Lytechinus pictus: one gene and its partners. The protein of the gene in region 1 interacts with the protein of each later gene in a pairwise test. Links are inferred from orthologs where the notes say so. Each region holds a gene or a part of one and is shown in the gene's direction. Other genes may lie near its edges.

Region 1 (7,086 bases):
TGTATTCACACTTCATAAATTAGCTGTCACTTTCAGATACATACAGACTTTGGAATATCTCTATATTTCATTTATATCTTGACAGCTTGCAAAGAATTTTTTTATAAAGTGCACACCTAGTTACCAATAATGCGTATATCATTTTCATTTATTTGAATGCAGGATAAAAGAGCGTTGTCAATTAAATGTCTTGCTCATTGGCATAGGTGCCGCGGCCGGGTATCGAACCTTGGACTTTCCATCTATAGCCAGGCGCCTTAGATCACTCGGCCACGGCACCTCCACTTGAAAAGAATTGGGGAGATACCTGTTTATGGACAGATAGGATGACACAGAAACGGTTGACAATGAATTAAACAAATCTTTACTTCATCTACAAAGCTTCAGATTTCAATCTGGGATTTTCCCTTGTCACTGATGATTGGTTTTTTTCTCTCTTTTCTCTTTTCTCGTTTTTACCACTATAATCATTGTATTTTCATCTATTCCCTAAAGATTTACTGTACTCAGTGCTTTATTTTTTTGTCAATTTGAAATTTGAATTATATATGTCCCTGTTAACCAAGAATCTCCCACTCTGCACGCTGAATTCAAATAAATTTTGAATAGTGATAGTGATTTCGATGACATATTCAATTTGATTTGCTCCATTTTATTCGGGCCATTCAACTCACTAATTTTTAGGGTAGATTTAGCCTTTACACACACATTTTCACCAGACTAGGGCCCATATGATATTTTTATATTGAAATACAACCACAAATTACTTGAATAAGATCACTTTCCATTTTAACATAGCATTAAAAAAATTATATTAAGAGACGAATAGCAGATAATTTGATAACACTATAGACCATCATCGAGCATCATATTAAAAGAATACACGGGACTCAGAGAAGTATTCTTTTTATGAGTTGACCTAATAAAAAGTAGGCCTTGCCTGCTTCTAACAGTATGCCACATTTCTATGCAAAAGTTCTTCAGAGAATGAGTTAAAAATATCACATTCTTGGGTTTTCTTATGGTTATCTACCCCTTGAGGTTTGCATCAGAATGCCAAGAAACAAACAAAAATGTCAAGCCGTGACTAATAAACATGTAAAACCCACAAACTCTGGCACCTTACGGGCAAGAGAAGACTATGGAGAATTAGAAATGCCTGATGCAAAGAATGATGTGATAGCTATCTTGGATGCAAATGTCTTCTAATCCGTATTATTTTACGCATCGAATAGAGAACACGGTTGACTCCCTGAGCTGATTGAAAAACAACTTAAGATGTTGTTTAGTGAGTTGTAGAGTTTGATCGTATGTCATTAAGAATTCACTGTACACGTGTTGTTATCTGCTTCACTAGATTGATTACTGCATTTTGGTCTCTCAGTGGGCTCCAATATTTGTCGTTGTATTTCTGCCTTTGTTGCAGATTAGCATTAGAGGTTGCAAGGCTCGATCAAATTGCAGGTGTCGAGATGATTTGAAAGGGTTCTGTTATGCATTGCGGAACGTGAGTAGGATGTCTGATAAATTGCAATATTCCTAATGTGCTCCTAGTTGATGCATCTTGTTTATACAGTGGTATACAATTTGAATCATTTATTGGTTAAGCAAATTGTATTTAACTTGTGAGAATTCAAAACAGTTGAATGTTGGTGAATTCTGCGTCTCATATAGCTCATCATTATCATCATCATTACCAAAATCATCATCATCATCAACACCACCATCGTCATCTTCATTATCATCGTCACCATCATAATCATCATCATCATTACACCTCCACCATTTTCATTATCACCATGATCATTCCATTATCACTATCGTCTTCATCACCACCACCATCATCAACACCTACACCACCGCCACTGCCATAATCATCATTGTCTTCTTCACAGCAGTCATTACCACCATCTTTATCACTGTCATCACTATCACCACCATCATCATCATGATCACCACCACCCTCATCTCTACTATCACCATTGTCACTATCATCATCACCACTGCCACCATCATCATCGTTATCATCATCACCATCATCATCATTATCATCATCACTATCATCATCATCATCACCACCACCACTGCCGCCATCATCATCACCATCATTATCATCACCACCACCACCATCATCATCAACATCATTATCATCACCACCATCTTCATCATCATCATCATCACCACCACCCATCATCACCACCTCCACTATTGTCATCACTCTACCATCACCACGACCTCCAACACCACCACCATAAGCATTCATTCCACTCCTCCAACGCCCATGGCAGCCTTAAACCTGACCTCCGATCACCTATCGATCAAAACCTGATTAAGGTCGTGCCATGCATGTCACGTCACCGAGGCTAGAAGTATATAAACTCGAACTAAAGCATCTTGCAAATAGCTTTTAGCGTTTACTTCAAAATTTTTGAATAGTCACTGAAAATGAGCTTGCTATCTGAGAATAAAGTTAATAGTGTATCTTCTTTTTATTGATAATTTTTTGTACATTGCACTACAGAGCTAAATTTAAACAACACTACAGCATCAAGTTACCTGTTTAGGGGATACAGTACAAGTAAAAAGAAAATGATAAGAGATACAGACCAACAATTGTACAGACCTTGTCAGGCAGACACAGAAACCAGGAGAAAGAATTATTTAATCAATACAATACAGCGTATCATTAAATAGCTTTTTTGTTCAACCCCTGGTAATTAGCATACACAGTCTGCACTCTGCAGGCAGAAGTACCCTCTATTATGAGGCCTTGTGTCTTTAAATTTAGCAGCTTTTTAAATGAAGTAAAATTAATGTAATACCCTATCCTTGCCGCAAGCTTAAATCTCTGCGTTATGATTCCAAATGGTGATATATAGTCCATGATATGTTGTTTACTACCTGCTGATGCAATTTAGATGTTTAATGAGGAAAGGAGAAATTTTTTCGACCATGCGGGAAGAGCGGGGCTTTTATGTACTTGAAACCAGCCAATATTTGTTAGATGTAGTTGTTATTTTCATGGTACGGCTAATTGGATCTGATGAGATTAGTTCTGCATTTTGTGGTGGGACTTATCAAAATGTTTCTCCGATGTTTATTGAATGCTTGGTTTTAAATATGAATGCTTATAACTTTGCTCATTTAGGCCTATGTGTATGTGTCGGAAAAAATTGTGTGTTGATGAGTTCAAGAAAAGGGTATGTGAATACTGATTGTGATTATGATATTGGTGGTATTGTTTGAGGTATGTATTATGATTGCATAATTTGGTAAAAACATTTTAACTTAAGAATCGGATGATTATATGGTGATGAGGAGTTGTGATGTTGATAGTGGCATTGGTGGTGGTGATGATGTCAATGTTGATGTGATGATGTTATGATGATGATGGTTGTGGTGGTCATGATGATGGTTGGAATGAAGATGATTATGGCAGTGAAGGTGACAGTTATGATAATGATGATGATGATGATGATGATTATGATGATGATGATGATGATGATGACGATGGTGGTGATGGTGGTGTTGATGATGATGAATACGACGACGATGATGATGATGATTATGATGATGATGACGATGATGATGGTGGTGGTGATGATGATGATGATGATTATGATGATGATGACGATGATGGTGGTGGTGGTGATGGTGGTGATGGTGGTGGTGGTGTTGTTGATGATGATGACGATGACGGTGGTGGTGATGGTGGTGGTGGTGGTGGTGGTGATTATGATGATGATGATAATGATGATGAGGTTATAAAAATGGCATTGGTTATGAAAGTGGTAGTAATGTAAAAATAAAGGAGAAAGTTGTTGTAATTGTTGATGCTGTAAATGGCTGATAAATTGTGGTAATGGCGATGCTGATTATTATGCTAATCTTGAGTTTAATAACTAGTAATTCACTATCATAAGTACTCCCCCATATTAGTGTTTTTGACATTGACAGTAGTAAATAAAATTTCCTTCCTTTTTCTTCTTTTCTTTTCAGCAGCCCTCACCTTCATCACCAGTGTTATCAGACAGATTAGAGGGAACAGGAACCCCGACAGTAAGTACAAAATACCCGCTGCTAAGACTTTAAAGGGGAACTTCACCATAACGCTGTGTTTATTTCAATAAAAACAGACAAATTTTCAAAAAATAGTGGTGAAGGTTGGGCAACAATCCATCAAAGAAAACAAGAGTATCCACCATACCAACAACATCACTTTCAATTTTTTTTTTTGAGAAAATGGCATTTTAAAAGATTGACATCACATGGAGGTGTCTTTACCATCAGAGATCACAAGCCATGCATTATGCATTGATCAAAGGGCATACAACTGTTGCTTTTGACTTCAGGAAAACGGTGTACCTCCACCTACCATACACAGCCTCGTGCAAAAACCTAATGCAAGATCCGGGCACAGAATTTCAGTGCAATCCACCAAATTTATGATTAATCACATTTTCTTCCTCCATTGTGGTTGGGTTTGTTTCCGTTTCCCCCGGCTTCCTGCGAAGTTTGATTCTGTAAGCGACGCCGTCACACCATCGTTCATTTGATTTGTTCAATAGGTTGAAACATTTGATTTCATTATACCAGAACAGCCGATTACACCATGTACATTTCACATACTCCAATCATGTGTATTATGTACACAAGATTTAGCTACTCTGATACAAAAAGCACATTTCAGGGGAGTGAGCGATGTAGAATTTAAAAATCCATGTGAATTAGTTGGGTTGTTTTTTCGTATCACGCTCTGACAATGAAAATTGCTAACAGAGCTATGCAGATGTAGGAATGTATTATATGATACCCTGAAAAAAGTCTAATTACTTTATTTTCCTTGCTTATTGCCAACTAGACATACTTTATAAACTGCAAACCCTTGTATTATTACTGACTAATAAGTCTTTTTCTATATACCAGAAGAAATTAGCACATATTTAAATGTATTAATACAAATAAATCATTGGTAGTCATACAAGTTAGATTTAAATGACTTTGGCATACCCAGTCATAATACTGAAAAATTATAAAATTGACTGTACTCTCTTTTGGAAAATTTTGGAATTGCATAATTTGGAATTTTTCAGGAATTTGAAAAGAATGAGTGTTATCTAGAGTAGATATGAGGTTATTTTTCTTTTTTTTTCATGAACCAAAAAATTGATATCAAGTTTTATGTACGGGAACAGCGGAGCATATTTTCATTCGATTTTTTTGTAATGATAAGTTGATGGCAATTTTCTTTACCTTTTCTCATTTTTATGAGGAATTGTTCCTATTTAATATATATTGTCTCTTCTTAAACTCTTGGTTTTTTTTTGTGTCTCCTTTTTTTTCTCTCTCTCTCTATCTCTCTGTCAGATACAAAATAGAGATACTCAGTGGCAATATGAGGAAATCACATTAGTACGGGTAAGTTTACCATGTTTATTCCTTTTTCTTCTTCCTCTCCTCCCATTTCTTCATCTTCTTCCTAGTTTTTGTCTGTTCTTCTAATGCTCTGGTTTTTTTATCTTCACTTCGTTTTCTTTCTTATTTATCTTATATTTTATCCCCCATCTTCATCATCCATCTCATTCCTTTTCTACTTTTCTTTCTCCTCCTTCATTCTTCTCCTTTTTATCCTTCATCATATTACTTTCATTCTCTCACTTTCTTTGATGTCCTAATGCATTTTTACCATGCTCCATGTCATCTCCAAAGATTAATCACAATCTTATTTTTTTTAATTCAATTGTGAAAAAAAAATCAACCATCACCTTTATATAGGCAACTCCAAATAAAAATCCAATCTGCAATTTAAAAGGGGGGGGGTAGAATTCCTGATGCATGTCCAAGACAATACAGAAAGTCTTGAACAGAGACCAAATCCCCAATTTGAGCAAGAGAAGCTAGACATCGGAGATACAGATTAGTCTCTTTTTCCAGACAGTGTTATTGTCTTCATACTAATCAGAGACCGACTTCTCATGCATCTGTTGCCCCTGGGTTTTTTTTCTTTTTCTACTTATTTTTGAAAGGCCATCAGATAGATTCCATTATTCATAGAGTTATCGATTTTCATAACAACCTCCATCTTCTCATCTTGAATGTTATTTTTAGACCTTCGTTTAAACTCAAATATGCACAAAACCTCAAGCTTGGGGATCAAAATATGACATGGATAATTCCATCTGGTATGATATGCATAATTAAGGCCTCGAAGAAGACATCTGTAATTATCTTTTGCATCGTTTGGCCAGGAGAGAACTAAAAGATAATAGCGAGATGAAATTATTCTGCATTTTGTGGATTATTCCGTGGAGTTTGCTGACATTTTGTCATGAAGAATTTGATCAGGTTTATTGTGAAATTGAGGAGAAATTGTAACACGGGTAATTTCCGAGTTGGTTTAGGGCAGTTTTTTCTGGTTCGAGATGACTTTAGTTGAGCTTCCTTTTTAATAATCTGAAACAGAAAGTTTGTTTTATTAGAATTTTTTTATAAAAATTATGTTTTTTCCTAATTTATCTACTCAATATTGGATTTTCTCTGAATGTTATTGACAGGATTGTCTCCCTTATATATTATCCATGTATGTGTAACATGATACATAAATTTCACATCTTATTTTATTCCACCCCCTTGGACCCCCCCCCCCTCTTTTGCAATTCCGTTCTTTCCCCCCCCCCTCCCCCTTCATTATTCCACCCATTTATCTATCTCGCTCTTTCTCTCCTCTCTATCTCCCCATAAGCTTATTTTCACTCCCTCTTTCTATCATTCACTCATTCATTAATTTCCCTGCAGTGATTTCCCTCCTGCAAATACAATTTTTCAATCACCTTTTCTTATTAAGTATTGATAAATACATTTCTCCTTGCCCATCGTAAAAAAAAAATCATTTCTACATTCATCGACATCAAACCATCGCCCTCCTCCTTTTCCTTTCGTCCCGAGTTGCGAGACTAAACCACTGTGGAATTTGAAGATTGGGAAGAGTAAATAACATTTCATAAATGCCTCATGCACATGGCCATTTCTCTATTTTCTCATTTCTCCATTTTCTCGTTCTCGTCCCCAAATTACTAACCATCACTC
Region 2 (7,999 bases), on another chromosome or scaffold:
CAATACGTTAAAGTAGACATAGTAGAAAGGTGCAGTGACACAAACAAAACCTTCTCCAAACCGATATATTTTACGCCATTTGAAATAACGTAATATACCTCGTCGGTCTGGAGTCGGTCTCGCCAAGTGCGACTGCGGCAGGGACGTAACGATCTCGTTCTGCAGCTATTCTCTCAACGGTACAATTCTATTGGGTTTTCTTTCAAGATTTTATTACCATCGAATTTTCGATCGGAACTAAAAAGTTGACCCATTGATCGTGCGTTTGGTAGTCGACTGGTCTCATTGATATCCTAACACTATACAAAAACATCAAGGTACATGGTGCTTAAACAAAATTCATTGCTGCATTCCTTAAAAGTTAAAAATAGCATTCAGATATGTGGACCTTTCGCTAACTTGGCTTAATATTTTGCTATTACTTTTTTTTCGGGGGGGGGGGGGAGGGAGGGGGGGGGGATATAGTCTTGTAGTTTTATTTGGAACTTTGTGTAGTCTCTAAGAAAGAGGAATGATAACGGAACATAAAGCGATGACAGTGATGAGCAGGGTGATCACGGTGAAAGTGGATACATTATTCATGTTAGCATTTCTACTCTGTTTTTTTATTTGAACATGCTCAAAGCGCAGCGTGGTGATGATGATCACAATGATGACGATGAAATAGAATTGAATTTATTACACTTTTGAAATAGCTCGGTAAAATGCGTAACTTTTAACCAACACTGGGCAACATACTATGACACAACTATTGGTTAAAATCTGTCAAAATTGGGGAATAAAGACTAATAACTTGGTAAACAAATTGGGAAAAATAAATAATATTATAATATATATATATATATATATATATATATGATTGGTTTAGTGTCGAAAATCTGTCTATCTGACGGTCAATCGGATCGGGGTCGCCCTCGCCACTAACCCGTCTCTGTGGTCTAGTGGTTAAGGCACCGGCATTCAAAGCTGGGGGCCCGGGTTCGATTCCCGGCAGAGACATTTTTTCGGCATCACCAATTTTTCCAAAGGGTAGATAGGTCTGGGGAACCTTGATTTAAGCTACGCCTACCATTGTTCTCTTCCTCCATTTCTTTCACACAATATTTAAATAAAACAGTTGCCAAAGCTGTTGTACATGTATGACTATACACATTTGTATACTTTCTCCCATATAATACGTGTACTTTATCAAAGCAATACCTTTGATCCAGCTGAGGCGTGGCGGCTTGTCATTGTTTAAAACCCACCTTCACCCGACAAAGGAAATTATGATTGGTTTAGTGTCGAAAATCTGTCTATCTGACGGTCAATCGGATCGGGGTCGCCCTAGCCAGTAACCCGTGTCTGTGGTCTAGTGATTATGGCACCGGCGTTTAAAGCTGGGGGCCCGGGTTCGATTCCCGGCAGAAATTTTTTTTTTCAGCATCACCAATTTTTCCAAAGGGTAGATAGCTCTGGGGAACCTTGATTTAAGCTACGCCTACCATTGTTCTCTTCATCCATTTCTTTCACACAATATTTAAATAAAAGAGTTGCCGAAGCTGTTGTACATGTATAACTTCACACATTTGAATACTTTCTCCCATACGTGTACTGTATCAAAGCAATAGCTTTGATCCAGCTGGGACGTGGCGGCTTGTCATTGTTCAAAACCCACCTTCACCCGACAAAGAAAATTATGATTGGTTTAGTGTCGAAAATCTGTCTATCTGACGGTCAATCGGATCGGGGTCGCCCTAGCCACTAACCCGTCTCTGTGGTCTTGTGATTAAGGCACCGGCGTTTAAAGCTTGGGGCCCGGGTTCGATTCCCGGCAGAAACATTTTTTTTTTCGGCATCACCAATTTTTCCAAAGGGTAGATAGCTCTGGGGAACCTTGATTTAAGCTACGCCTACCATTGTTCTCTGCATCTATTTCTTTCACACAATATTTAAATAAAAGAGTTGCCAAAGCTGTTGTACGTGTAATACTTCACACACACACACACACACACCCTCACACACACACACACATATATATATATATATATATATATATGTATATATATATATATATGTATATATCTGTTGAGATACCCTGTAGCTATAGTCCTTCTGCTGCACTTCAAGGTTGAGCATGGATGCTACGATGTAATTTACCAGAAGCTTGCATAGCATTCTAAAATAATATCAATAAGTAATAAACTGAATATTACCCAGTGCATAGCCAAGCGTCTCCATCCATTCATCTCGTGTTAGCCTATTTGAAAACGAATTTCGTGTTCTAAGCATACATGGAGAAAATTAGCAATTAGCAAGTGAAATTGTAATAAAATGTATATCTGAATCTTAGAAAATCTAAGTTAAATCTATTTTGATTGTAAGGAAAATCACCCTAACAGTGCATGTCAATATTACAATTAATTTGACAGTGTATACTTTAAAAAGGTTTTTTTTTTATAGATGACTATTGAACAAAAAATGAGTAAAAAATGAGAAAGACGATTTCATTATAATCTTTGGAACAAATATCCATACACTTTATACAGCAGGAAATTAAAATAAATCTAGATAAATTTTAGATATGGACCGATCGAATTCTGGATATAGTTTTAATCATAAAATTTCATTTTAAATCTAAAATAATTTATATTAAAATTTATCAAGATTAAAACATGGTTATAACAATACATACGATTGATTTTTATATCTCAAAGGATTTATATCAAAATCATTATAGATTTAAGATTACTTTTTATGGGATTAACTTTAAATCCAGATTGGTCCCTATTTGCATTATCCCGGGATTTTATTTAAATACCTGCAATTTAGACTGTAGCTGTGGACTGTCTCGGATGGGATTTCTTGGAAATCATATTTGAATGTAACATGGTATGTGAGTAATTTGATATGAAGAGTTTGGTTGCAAAAGGGGTTAGGTCTACTTTGGACCATTCCAAGAAAAATAATGTTTCTTAATTCTCACGTATTGTAATATTCTTATGAGTGACAAAATTGTCATGGTGTACTCTCCTATTATGTGAACATAAAATTAAGTATAAAAGAAATTTACCAGTCTTCACTTTTTTCTACATAAAGTCATTTTTTAAATTATCATTGTGGACCTAATCCCTTTTGCAAGCAAATTGAAATGAATCCAATCTCTTTTGAATAAAAAAGTGATTTTTCTTTGCCACTTTTATTCACATTTTAATGTGAATTTAAAATTTTCTTTGGTATCATCAGAGCGACTAATATCTATAGCTTTCGGGACAGAAAAAAGAAGATTTATAAAAAATGGACCGAACTCATTTTGACAAATGAGCTGTTTATAAGAGTTTGGTTGCAAAAGGGATAGGGTCCACTCCAAGAAAATACCTTTTTTTACTTTCCCATATTGCAATATTTTTATGCGAAACTAAGTTTTCATGATGCCCTACCATGTGAACATAAAATTGGGTATAAAAGAAATCTACCTGTTTACATATTTTTTTAAATATTCTTTTTCAAAAAAATCTTTTGTTCACTTTTTAATGGGAATTTCATCGTTTCTTGGGTATCATCTTATGAAGCTACTAAAAATGTATACATTGAGAAAATTGACCTAATCCCTTCTGCAATTAAGCTCTTTATATGCTTCACTATCTTTTCATTTCATATCCCCTTCTTATTTTGGACTACTATTGATGTCATTTTGATAATCCCTATATGGTCTTATTTTATCTTCGAAGACTTTTACAAATTCGTTATATTTTGTTATAACAGTAATCATTTATAATATATCCTAATCGATTTTGCACGATACTTTTATTTGAAAAAATATCCAAATCGCAAACGTAATATAAATCAATTATAGTTACCTAGGTTGCTGATGTCATCAGTCTTACTGAAATTGATATAACTATTATCTTTATGAAGTTGTTATGAATTGTAATATCTTTATTGATATCATTATTGGAGTTATTATCACAGATATCACCATTTTCATTCTCCACATTATCATAATTGTTGTAACTAGGTTATAATCGTAAACAGTATAAATCGGATAATTCCGACCATTTAAACGCGAGTTTCCTTTTCGTTTGCAGCTTAATTGTTCTTTGCTTACACTGTAGTACTCGTGTGATGAACTTTTGTTTATCAATAGGTCGAGCTTCACGAAAAAATGCCATATCACTTTCGCTGTTAACGTTTAATCTTCATCACCACCGGCATTATCATTATCATTGTTATCATCACGTGTCACGCCTTGTAAGTAAGATATGATTAAAATATATTTGGCGCTAAAGCATCTACTTGCAATGAATACTGATTTTTTTATGGAAAAAAAAAAGTAAAAAAAAATCGGTTTGGTTGCAATGGAGCTATTGGTATATGATGATAATGAATATATGGCGCTGGTATTTAAGCATATTTAGTGCAATCACATTAACCAGTAATATATATTTAGTAACACATAGGCCTACAGATTCGCTTGTCAATGTATTCGATTCATCTTCCCACCGTCACCATTCGCAATAAACACGAACAATATCACATGTAGAAATTAGCACATCCAAAGAAGACACTACCCGGCTAAAAGACTCCAGCTCGGCGCCAATTATTTTCCCCTCTGTAAGCCTAATCACGAGGTATCACGATTAGACAAAATGAAAAAAAAACCGCATGATTCTGAAAACTCGACATCGATACGTGTTTTAGCGCGATGACGACATCAAGTAATTAACCCGAGCGCTTCGCTACAGCGAGGAGTGGGGAAGAAAATGGGCGACGAGAGAGTTAAGACCATCTCATTCCGCATTCAACATCCTTGTTCATTGTCATCGCAATCGCCTCTTCAAATAGAACACACAAGTGATGCGAGCCCCGTGAGATATAGCAATACTGTAATACACACACGAACACGCGCACATCATCGGCGATGCCTGCGTGTATTATTAAAAAAAGCGAGTGTATACACCGCCGTGAGACCGACATATATTATGCTCATTGGCGTGGAATTACACCAGCACGCTTCGGTCGATTCTTCATTTGGCAGGTCGTAGCCAATGCATTGGAAGTCAGCGAATAGCCATTCAGATTAACGAATAAAGAACAAGAGGTCCAGGCCGGGCGCTGCCAGCTATCTGAACGAGGAGAGTTCATGCTAGCTCTCGCGACTATTTCAGTTCACCGTCGCCATTATAGAGGCTGCTGGTGTACCCGTTCGTTTTGAACGGATCAAAGGAAAGCTTTGGTAGATCGGAACATAGTGTACTGCAGTTTCTCCTTTCATGGCTGTCTTCCCTCCGTGTAACTTGCCTGTGGTTGAAGAAACAAGAGATGGGGATGTGTTCATATCAAGTTATTGATAGGGGGAGGGGTCGACACCCAAAACGCTAGCAACATTGGAAACCGATCTCACATGAACCAAGGAGTTGGATTCCGGGGAACCTGCGAGGAAAACTAACAGGGATACCAAGGAGAGTTTAAGCAAACGTTCATGCACGGCGATATTGAATGTATATGCATAGACGTATGTCTCGTACCCTTTCTGATACAACTCATTGTATATAGAAAGTGGACATCGTTTTTTAACGGAGTCGAGTGGACGATTTATGCTTCAAATCTTCCGACATATATGTAATGACTTCCGGGAAGCTTGTTTTTTGATGATTTTGAAAGGAATGCACCACTGGTCTGTCACTGTTTGGATGTAATTTCAGTTGTTGAAAATTTATTGAAATTCTTTGACCTTGATTCCTTGCGTCTTAGGCATCCAGGCTTTAGGAAAGATAGCTCCTGTTCTGCCAAATCAATTCCATAACTTGGTATAAGATCATATGGTGTTTTCATGGTAAGTACAAAACTAATAACCTGCAAGAGAAGGCATAACTCATCTCTGTAGCTGTTAGGAGATCATTTAAGTTGCTTGTTAAAGGTAACTATTTATCTTTGCTCTTAAATTGTATATCTTTGGCTTATGAACATGATGATATTGTAATCAGTGCACAGAACTAGCATAGCTTTATTTACATTAAGGAACTGATCTCGACAAGAGATCATTAATCTATTTTCAGCGTGAGCAAAGAAACAATTTGACGATTGGTGGCAACTATAAGAAAGCCAGCCTCACCCCTTTGTCCCCTTTCCCCTAATATTTGCTCAACCTGCCGCCCCCTTTCAACGGAATTTAAGTTGCTTCTTGTATTTAGGCGCGCTCCTTTTTTTTTCTTTAATTGTTAAACACCAACCGCCACCATTTTCAACCATAAAATTGATTTGATCGAGCGTTGGGGGTTAAACCCTGCCTGGTCTCGCTCGAACAACAGGCAAAATAGATCCTGGGGTAGGAAAAAACAGCCCAAGACCTCCTTGGCGCCCCCTACGGCAAGTCCAAGGATGGAAGCGGCAATGGCAGGGCTTGAGGCGGCATCGGGTAACCCGTATGCATCCACCCCACGGCACTACGGAAGGTCAATGTCTCATACCCCCAGTGGAGGAAACATCTCTGGCGCTATGAGCAACTGTCGGTCTCTACCTCGACTCCTTGAGCAAGGTGATGACAGCAGTGATAGCGGGGAAGACATGGCAAGCGAAGATCCTGGATGGGAACGCGTTGTCATCAACGTCAGTGGACTCCACTACGAAACACACCTCAAGACTCTGAACCAGTTTCCTAACACTTTACTAGGGAATCCTGAGCGAAGGATCAGGTATTTTGATCCCATTCGGAACGAATACTTTTTCGATCGTAATCGACCGAGCTTTGACGCCATTTTGTACTATTACCAAAGTGGGGGACGGTTGCGAAGGCCTGTCAATGTTCCTATAGATGTCTTCACAGAGGAAATAAAATTCTATGAACTGGGCGATGGAGCATTGACAAAGTACAGAGAGGACGAGGGCTTCATTCAAGATGAGGAAAAAGTATTGCCTACGAATCCCTTGCAAAAGAAAATGTGGCTTCTATTTGAATATCCCGAGTCTTCTAGAATGGCTAGAGTTGTAGCGATCATTTCTGTAAGTGTAATCCTTATATCAATTGTAATTTTCTGTATGGAAACAATGCCAGAGTTCAAAGACGCGCGTAAGATGACGGAGAGTGGATCAGGGGTTACTACTTGTGGAGCGACTATGGCAGCGACTACGGTGCCCACGCCAACTCAATCAGGCAATAGAACGACATCATCGGAGGAAGCAGATGCTGCCTTAAAAAGTGCAGAACTGGCGGCATACTTCCGCCACCCGTTCTTTGTGATCGAAACGTGCTGCATTGTTTGGTTTACTTTCGAAATTCTGGTTCGATTCCTGTCGAGCCCCAGCAAATTGGCCTTTGCAAAAAACGTCATGAATATCATTGACATCATAGCAGTACTTCCATATTTTATACAAGTGGGCACCATGATCGCCCAGTCATCCACAGATACTAACAGCCAGGCTATGTCCTTAGCCATCCTTCGTGTTATCCGACTTGTTCGCGTCTTCAGAATATTCAAGCTTTCGAGGCACTCTCGGGGCTTACAAATTCTTGGTCGAACTTTAAAGGCCAGTATGCGTGAGCTAGGCCTGCTCATATTCTTCCTGTGCATTGGGGTTGTCCTATACTCAAGCGCCGTCTACTTCGCCGATGCTGACAGCTCGGACGAAAACGGCGAACCTATCTTTAAGAGTATCCCCGATGCCTTCTGGTGGGCAGTGGTCACCATGACAACTGTTGGCTATGGTGACATGAAACCCAAAAGTACAGGTGCTAAAATCGTAGGATCGCTCTGCGCAATAACGGGCGTACTGACGATCGCGCTTCCTGTTCCTGTAATCGTGTCCAATTTCAATTATTTTTACCACCGGGAGGACGACGGTGAGGATTCCTCAAACTACTCACATGTATCAAGCTGTCCGTTCCAACAAGCGCCCTCTATTGACGATAGAAGTGAAGGTAATAGTGAGTTGGATCAACATGATTTTGTGGAGATGGAAGAGGGGCTATTAGAATCGTCGAGTAGGAAATCTAATCACAATGGTAATTCAAAGCCAAATA
Region 3 (7,149 bases), on another chromosome or scaffold:
GGGGGTCTCCCCCTTCTCTGTTATTTCACAGATTCTACATGTACCTTTAAAAATGGGTGAAAATAATGTACTGAGATTTTACTACACTGTATGATACATACATATATGTACATGTAGGCCTACATACTGTACAGACAGTGTACATATTAAAGCCAATTAAATTTCTTTACCATTAATTATGCCAGAAAAACTGTCACTCTATCTGTGAATAGTCATGGGTAGTATGCAAGCACAGACTCATATTTGACACTTCAACCAATAATGGGTCTAGAGTGAAGACTAGATTCCAATGACTCTGTGTGTGTCACCCACAGTGCATAGTGAATCTAGTCTCACCAATTCAGACTCTGCATTATGCAGTATGCGAATTGTGAAAACCAAGGGTTAAAGTGTCGAAAATGGGTCTGTGCCCGCAGACTAGTCATGGGGATGGAAAGGGGGGGGGGGGGGATGGAGGGGGCAGGCACGAAAAAAAATATTCAAGCATGGTGTGAGCACTCCAAGAGATTGTAGCCCTTCAAGGCATGCCTCATTGCAAAGCCTCATCATTCATATGACATCAAATTTACAAATGTCAGGAGTGGGATTGATTCTATTGATTTAGGATTTCAATTTCATGCTCCCTCTCCCTGCCCTCTCATATTGCCTTGGTCGATTCCCCTTCCAGCCATGGATAATTACATGATCGAACAGAAGTGTCAGCATAGTCTGCAAGCACAGACCTATTTTCGACACATTAACCAATAACAGGTCTAGAGTAAAGACTAGACGCCAAAGGTTCAGAGCCAGCCACGGTATAGTGAATCTAGTCTCACTACTTCAGACTCCGAATTATGCAAAAAAGAAGGGTCTGCGCCTGCAGACTAGCCTCATTTTATCTTCCAATATTGCTCAGTGTGTTCAATGAATTCACGTTTGACTGTCCCTAGTTTGCCTCAATAGTCCACCTCCTCAGACCTACAATACTGTACATCTTGAAATGGGGTCTACCAATGATCTTCACTATCACAGAGAAATTGGAGATGCTATTCCAGTCTTGTGCATTTTATCATATTAATTATTTCATCTAAAACATCTCTGGGCTTCCAAATGATGTTGAATATATTAATCTCTGGTTTTTTGCCTGGCAAGCTATTTTACAGCACACAAGCATTTCAAGGGATAGGCCCAACACATGTACACGTTTCCTGCCAGGTACCCAATTCCATCACCTGGGTGAGGGCTGGGGTCCTTTTGTGGCAAATGTGGTAAATGTAGATTATTGCCAAAGGATGATATAGAAACGTATCCATTCGATCATCTCTTGTATTCCAGATGCTCTACACTGTACATTTGGAGAAAAGGAGAGGAGGGAAGTTTTAGGGAAGGAGAGAAAAAGAGAGTCAGGGAAGGGGACAAAAATGAGATTGGTGTGGTAAACTAAGGAGAAAACAGACCTTCGATAACCCTTAGGACTACATGTAGCTACCAAAGAGAATGGGGCGCGAGTCATTGATGCTTGACAAGCATGTATTGGGAAATTGTATTGAGGCAAATATAGGAAGGAGAAAGGGGGCAAATAAAGGAAAGGGAGAAGGGACGATTGAGGAAAAGGGGAGAAGGGAAAATAGAGGAAAGGAGAGAGGAAAAGAGATAAAGAGCAAGAAGAGAGATCAGTGTGGAAAACTACAAAGACTGCAATCCTGTGATCACCCTTAGGACTCGCTACCAAAAAAGAATGCAATGCAAGTCATTGATACCTGACAAGCACGTAGTGGGAAATTGTATCGGGGCAAATATCTCGGGAACCAGATAGGTGAAGTCAAGACCTTTCATTGATCAGGATCTCTGATGTCCAGATCAATGGCTTGGCTCCATGGCAGGGCTCCGTTGCTGGGTATTCAGTTGTACCCATCTACCAAGAAGCTTGCAGGACTTGCATTTTACATTATAACTCAAGTTCTTCCATTAATATAATAATAATTTATTTATTTATAAAGCGCTTTTTGCCTGAGGATACAAAGCGCTGCTATTATTACCCTGGCTTAATCTCGAGCATGGACCTACTAGTAGATCCATGGCTCAAGCTACCATCACCGGCGCTCAGTACCCATTCACCTCACTGGGTCGAGTGCAGCACATTGTGGAACAAATTGTGTTGCTCCTTTTTTACACTGAATCATATGAAATATTATACTGGTAGTATGAAAAATAGTTAATTTTTGTGGATTATATTGATAAGCAATTTTATGGTTTGATTAAAAGTATGTGCATCTACGTGCAGGTTTTTAAGGGGGGGGGGGGCTTTGGGTAACTGCCCAATGTCACAATGAAAACTACAGATTGTGAAAGAAAAACAAAGTGCCAACTACACTTTAGATTTTTATTTTTTTGTGAATTTAATTTTGACACTGCTCAGTTCATCGAGGCTTTGATGGAGAATTCTCCCCGTGATTGATACGAATACTTTCCATGCGTAAAAAAGTTGTTTTTCATTAATTCAGTTGGGGGAGAATGCACTTTATAGCTGGATTGATGGGTAGAGTCCCACGGGATATACTGCATCATCAGTATTCGAGCATAGATTGTTCACATGATTACACATTCACTCATTCACCCATACATTGTGGGCTGTGCAATTGCACTAGTCTACAAAGCGCAGACTCAAATTTGACACTTGAAGAAATTATACTGCCATGTACATGTAGGGTGAAAACTAGACTTCATTTTCTCTGCCTGTGTCAAATAAGAATAGCCACACATGAGTGAATCTAGTCTCCTTTCAGACTCTGCACTACATGTATGTAAAAATTATGAGGTTATGCCTTCATACATTGTGGGTTGTACAATTGCACTAGTCTACAAAGCGCAGAGGAGACGCGGTAGCTCAGTCGGTAGAGCGGGGCATTCGTTTTCCAGTACCCCGGGTTCGATTCTCACTTGGTGCGCTAGTGCCCTTTGGTAAGGCATCAATCCTCAGTAACAGGTCCTTCGGAGAGGACATTAAGCCACCGGTCCTCTGGTTGCTTGCTTACAAGCATTCATGCTTTCTTTAATAGCAATCAGGTAAAAAATCGCCACCAATATATATAAATCACCAATATACATGTAGGCCTACAGTGTATATTGCACAGAGAAGATCCCTTTCACATTGCAGTACATTAAATATTTGCTTTCTTGCTGCCAAAAATACCTGATATTTTATGATAGGTGTGCTGTAGATCAGAGAGTAAATTTCCAGATCCAGGGGGGGGGGGCTTCATGGAGTCGAAAACAGCCATTTTATTAATTTTAATTCAAATCACCTGTATGCAGCTGGTACAAAAATGTTTAAACGACTGTTGTCGACTCGCCGTACGGTCGCCGTAGAGCAAACAGCTTTATGAAACACCCACCAGAGGTCTGATATTCTCGAACAAGTTGGTCTGAATACGCCTCCATATTATTGGAAGCTTAAATGTCTGGTGCAGGGGCTCATGGGATTGGTGCAGCTTATAAACAGGTCACATGACCAGCTGTTTGGGTCAAGTACTGTGTAGGGGTTGATTCAACATTCGAAACTCTGACATAACATCAGCCACATGGATGTCAATTCAGATTATCATGATTTTTGCTTTCGACTTTACTTTCTATGCACACTGCATACTCCAGTGTCTGTTTTGCTGGTTTTCTTTTGCAATTCCTGGGAATTTTATATAAAAAAAGGTATAAATACTGTTACATGGATGTTGTGGCAGTGATACAACATTTGTCCTAGCGACACCTGCTCCGTTCTTTATTTCATAATAGGGTGAGGGTTGCAATAGGGTCTTATATTAATAGGGTTAGGGTTAGGCTAGGGTTGTGTTAAGTATTAAATCCAGTGTTGAAAATGGTCATTTGAATAGTTTGTGGAATTGATGATAGCGGAGCAATTGTTGCCGGAGCAAATGTCATAGAATTGTAGTGATAATCGCTAATTTTTGTCATAAAGTTCTCATTATCCAACAGTTACCATAGCTAGCAACAGTTACGGTTGGCACAACTTGCCTGGTGACAAACATTGATGAAATGCTCCCCCGTTCTTTTGTATTCCAAATCAGCAAATAAAAGACTGTCCACCTTTTTTTTTCTTGTCTTTCCCTCCAGATGCAGAGATAATCATTCAAACTGACGGTCACTGCCGTATTCATCAAGACTGACACGGGATCGGGAACACCGCCCTCTGGAGCCAAAACATTGAAAATGGATACCGACGGTGCTCCTGAAAATGCTGATGATAATGGGGGGTTCCCAGTTACTCCGCAGCCTCAGGTACTAGAATAGGTTTTTAACAAATTGCTTATAATTGCAGTCACAGTTTCAAATTCAGTTTGCTAATTTCAATTATGGTAAAGTAAAGGTTCATGGACTTACCCTTACACTCCATCATGGAATTATATTTTTTTGGTCAAATTGAGAAGAAGAATCCTAAACAAGTTCAAAATGAATGATTCAAGGATGAGTACATGTGAAATGTGAAATTCCAGCAACTCTTAGGGATTTTTTTTCCCCTATACAGTTATGATTTACGAAATGGCAAAACGGTTATGTTTTTTAATAGCAGTCATTTGAACGGTAGTACATGTATGCTTTGATTCAGCCCTAGTAGGCCTACAGGTATGTGTAAAGATTTTGAAAAAAAGCTAATTTGCTAAAATTATTTCACGATTAAAAGGCCAACATGAATCCTTGATAATTGTGTGGATTTCCCCTACAGAACCAAAGTACAAGGAGCAGTAAGAGCTCGAAGAACAAATACCGTGACCGGGACACGGACGAAGACAGCGAGCGTGGCCACAGGGGGCGACGTGGTCGGCGACATCGAAACCGAGAGGATTCAGAGAATGATGGAGAAAATAGGAGACACAGCAAAAGACATTCTCATGTAGAACGATCAGTAACCATAGCAACGCACGGAGCTACAACCGACGAGGACAGAGATGAGGTTTGTACAATAATGAGATGTACATGTAATAAAGGATTTTTTGTAAAAAATATTTTACTTCGATATAGTGGAATACTGTCAAAATAAACATGGTAAAAATAGGGTTGATTTTGACTTGCACAAACTACAATGGCTGTATGAGTTGAAAAATGTTTAGACATACAGTACATGTACGTGTACATGTAGGTAAGCCCATTTAATTGAGTTAGAGCATTAATTTAGGCACAAAATCACATGTACAGAACTTATTGAAAGCCTTCATGTACACTGTACTGTCCATGCAAATATGCATGTCTAGACACTGTAACATTGAAAAGTAGAAGTCTTCCATATGTTGTGCAGGGCTCCCAGAGCAGATTACATACATGAATAAAATGTATGTAGTGAAAATCAATGACATCAAACATTGCACTTCATGCAAGGCAGGGTTCTTGAAAAGGTTGCTCAGTGAATGACATGGTAAATTGCCAATTCGTCCACTCAGCACATGGTCTACCTTCATTTGGTCCAATAACCATTTGGTCCAATCATCACTTCGTCTAATCCCCGGTTCGTCTAATCCCCGGTTCGTCTATTACCATCTTGTCTAATAACCAGTTGGTCTAATACCCATTTTCTTTTCATTCATTTTGCATAATTAACACTTTAGTTTAATAGACCACATGTATGGTATATGGACTAGATGGCTATTGGACCAACTGGTTATTAGACGTAATGGCATTAGACTGAATGAGGGTAGACCATGTGGTGAGTGGACAAACTGATGGTAGACCAAATGATAGTAGACAAGTTGGCAATTGGACGAATTGGCATTAGACAAATTGGAAATAACCATGATTGTCACTTTACAGATTATAAGAAGCTACTGCAAATACTTGCATCTGATTGGCTGAGAGTAAAGAAGTCAGCAAAAATCAAGTACAAAACCTTCCATGAAACACTCCCCCGGAACCCCCTTTTCGCAAATAGCTACAACTATAATTGTAAATGCCAGTCTGCCATTATGTCAATTACCATGGTAACAGTGCTCAGCAGCCAATCCAAATCAATTTTTTTTATAGAAGTTACAATAGAAGTGAGTTTTTATTAAACAAGGCATATGGTTTATTTTACCAGGTGAAAACCATATCTCATATTTGACCTTGTTTGACCTCTGAATGCCTATCTTGGGATTATCCCAGACTCCCCTAACTCCAGTTATCCAGTCTCCTCTTCTTCCAAAGGAGCAGGTGTAATAGTCTGTGAAATCTTATCCTTAGAGGCAATACAAGGAATGCTGGTCTAGAAGAGTTTTATTTCCTCTGGATGTAATTGGCGATTGATTTATGGATACATAGCCATGTGTGGTGCAAAATGATTTCCATCATTTTTGTCCAAATAGCTATTCATCCATTTTTTCTCACAGATGCATTTTCCCCAGAAAAGCAGGGATACTGATTTTTCATGTTATTAGGTGATCTGTCAATCGACAGATCAACTATTAATTTTGTACAAATTTTCTTTTTTATTATTTGTTATTCATTTTTATTTTTTCGCCCTTTTCTCGTTCGCACAAAATCTCAAAATCTACATCAACAATTTTCTTCAAAATATCATCAGTTATGGGGACTTATCATGTCATGTGTATAAAACAAGTTCAAGGTCAAAAGGTCCTCATTTTAAAAATCACATCAATCATACCTTCGTTATCAATTATAAAAAATCAACCATATTTACATCACATCTTCAGGTGACGGGTCAACTGTCCATGTCATCAGAGGTCATGTAAAGGTCACGACGTGCGCGTATGCGTGCGTCAAAATTGTAAAATGCTGAAAATCACTTTTTGACCAAAATATCATATGAATCAGGTCATTTTAAGCATTTCAAAAATTTGCTCGCGCACACGGTTACGCGGGCGTAAGAGCACTTTTTTATTCCCACCACCCTTCTCTGTTTGTTATTGTCCAATTTTCATGTGGTATCTTTACCACTAGCCTATCCCTGAACACATCATATAACATTGTCATCCACAAACCTGACACATCATTATCAACAAATTCATCATGGCATGTTTTCTATGCACGCACACATTCCATACCTAGAAGACGGACCCAGTATCATAAAGCTTAGCGATCGACAGTGGGGCTGATCTTTACGATTGATGGTATACAATAATCAGTGCAATCAATCGTAGAAAACAGCCTCATGATCAATTGCTAAGC

What was found.
Region 2: the proteins of disks large homolog 1-like (region 1) and potassium voltage-gated channel subfamily A member 2-like interact in binary tests that used the Drosophila melanogaster proteins (3 or more experiments, as listed by UniProt). The link is inferred for Lytechinus pictus from reciprocal best matches to the Drosophila melanogaster genes dlg1 and Sh.
Region 3: the proteins of disks large homolog 1-like (region 1) and vang-like protein 2-B interact in a two-hybrid assay, tested with the Drosophila melanogaster proteins (3 studies listed by BioGRID). The link is inferred for Lytechinus pictus from reciprocal best matches to the Drosophila melanogaster genes dlg1 and Vang.

The regions. Positions count from the first base shown.
Region 1 is NC_087260.1:18,803,689-18,810,774, forward strand, and holds the start of disks large homolog 1-like, read left to right. Parts: upstream 1-4,002; 5' UTR 4,003-4,059; intron 4,060-5,367; 5' UTR 5,368-5,418; intron 5,419-7,086. UniProt on the Drosophila melanogaster protein: During embryonic development, some isoforms are essential for proper neuronal differentiation and organization. Required for cell polarity; maintenance of apicobasal polarity.
Region 2 is NC_087253.1:9,708,605-9,716,603, reverse strand, and holds the start of potassium voltage-gated channel subfamily A member 2-like, read left to right. Parts: upstream 1-4,967; 5' UTR 4,968-6,360; coding exon 6,361-7,999.
Region 3 is NC_087252.1:12,409,456-12,416,604, reverse strand, and holds the start of vang-like protein 2-B, read left to right. Parts: upstream 1-4,105; 5' UTR 4,106-4,203; coding exon 4,204-4,272; intron 4,273-4,717; coding exon 4,718-4,945; intron 4,946-7,149.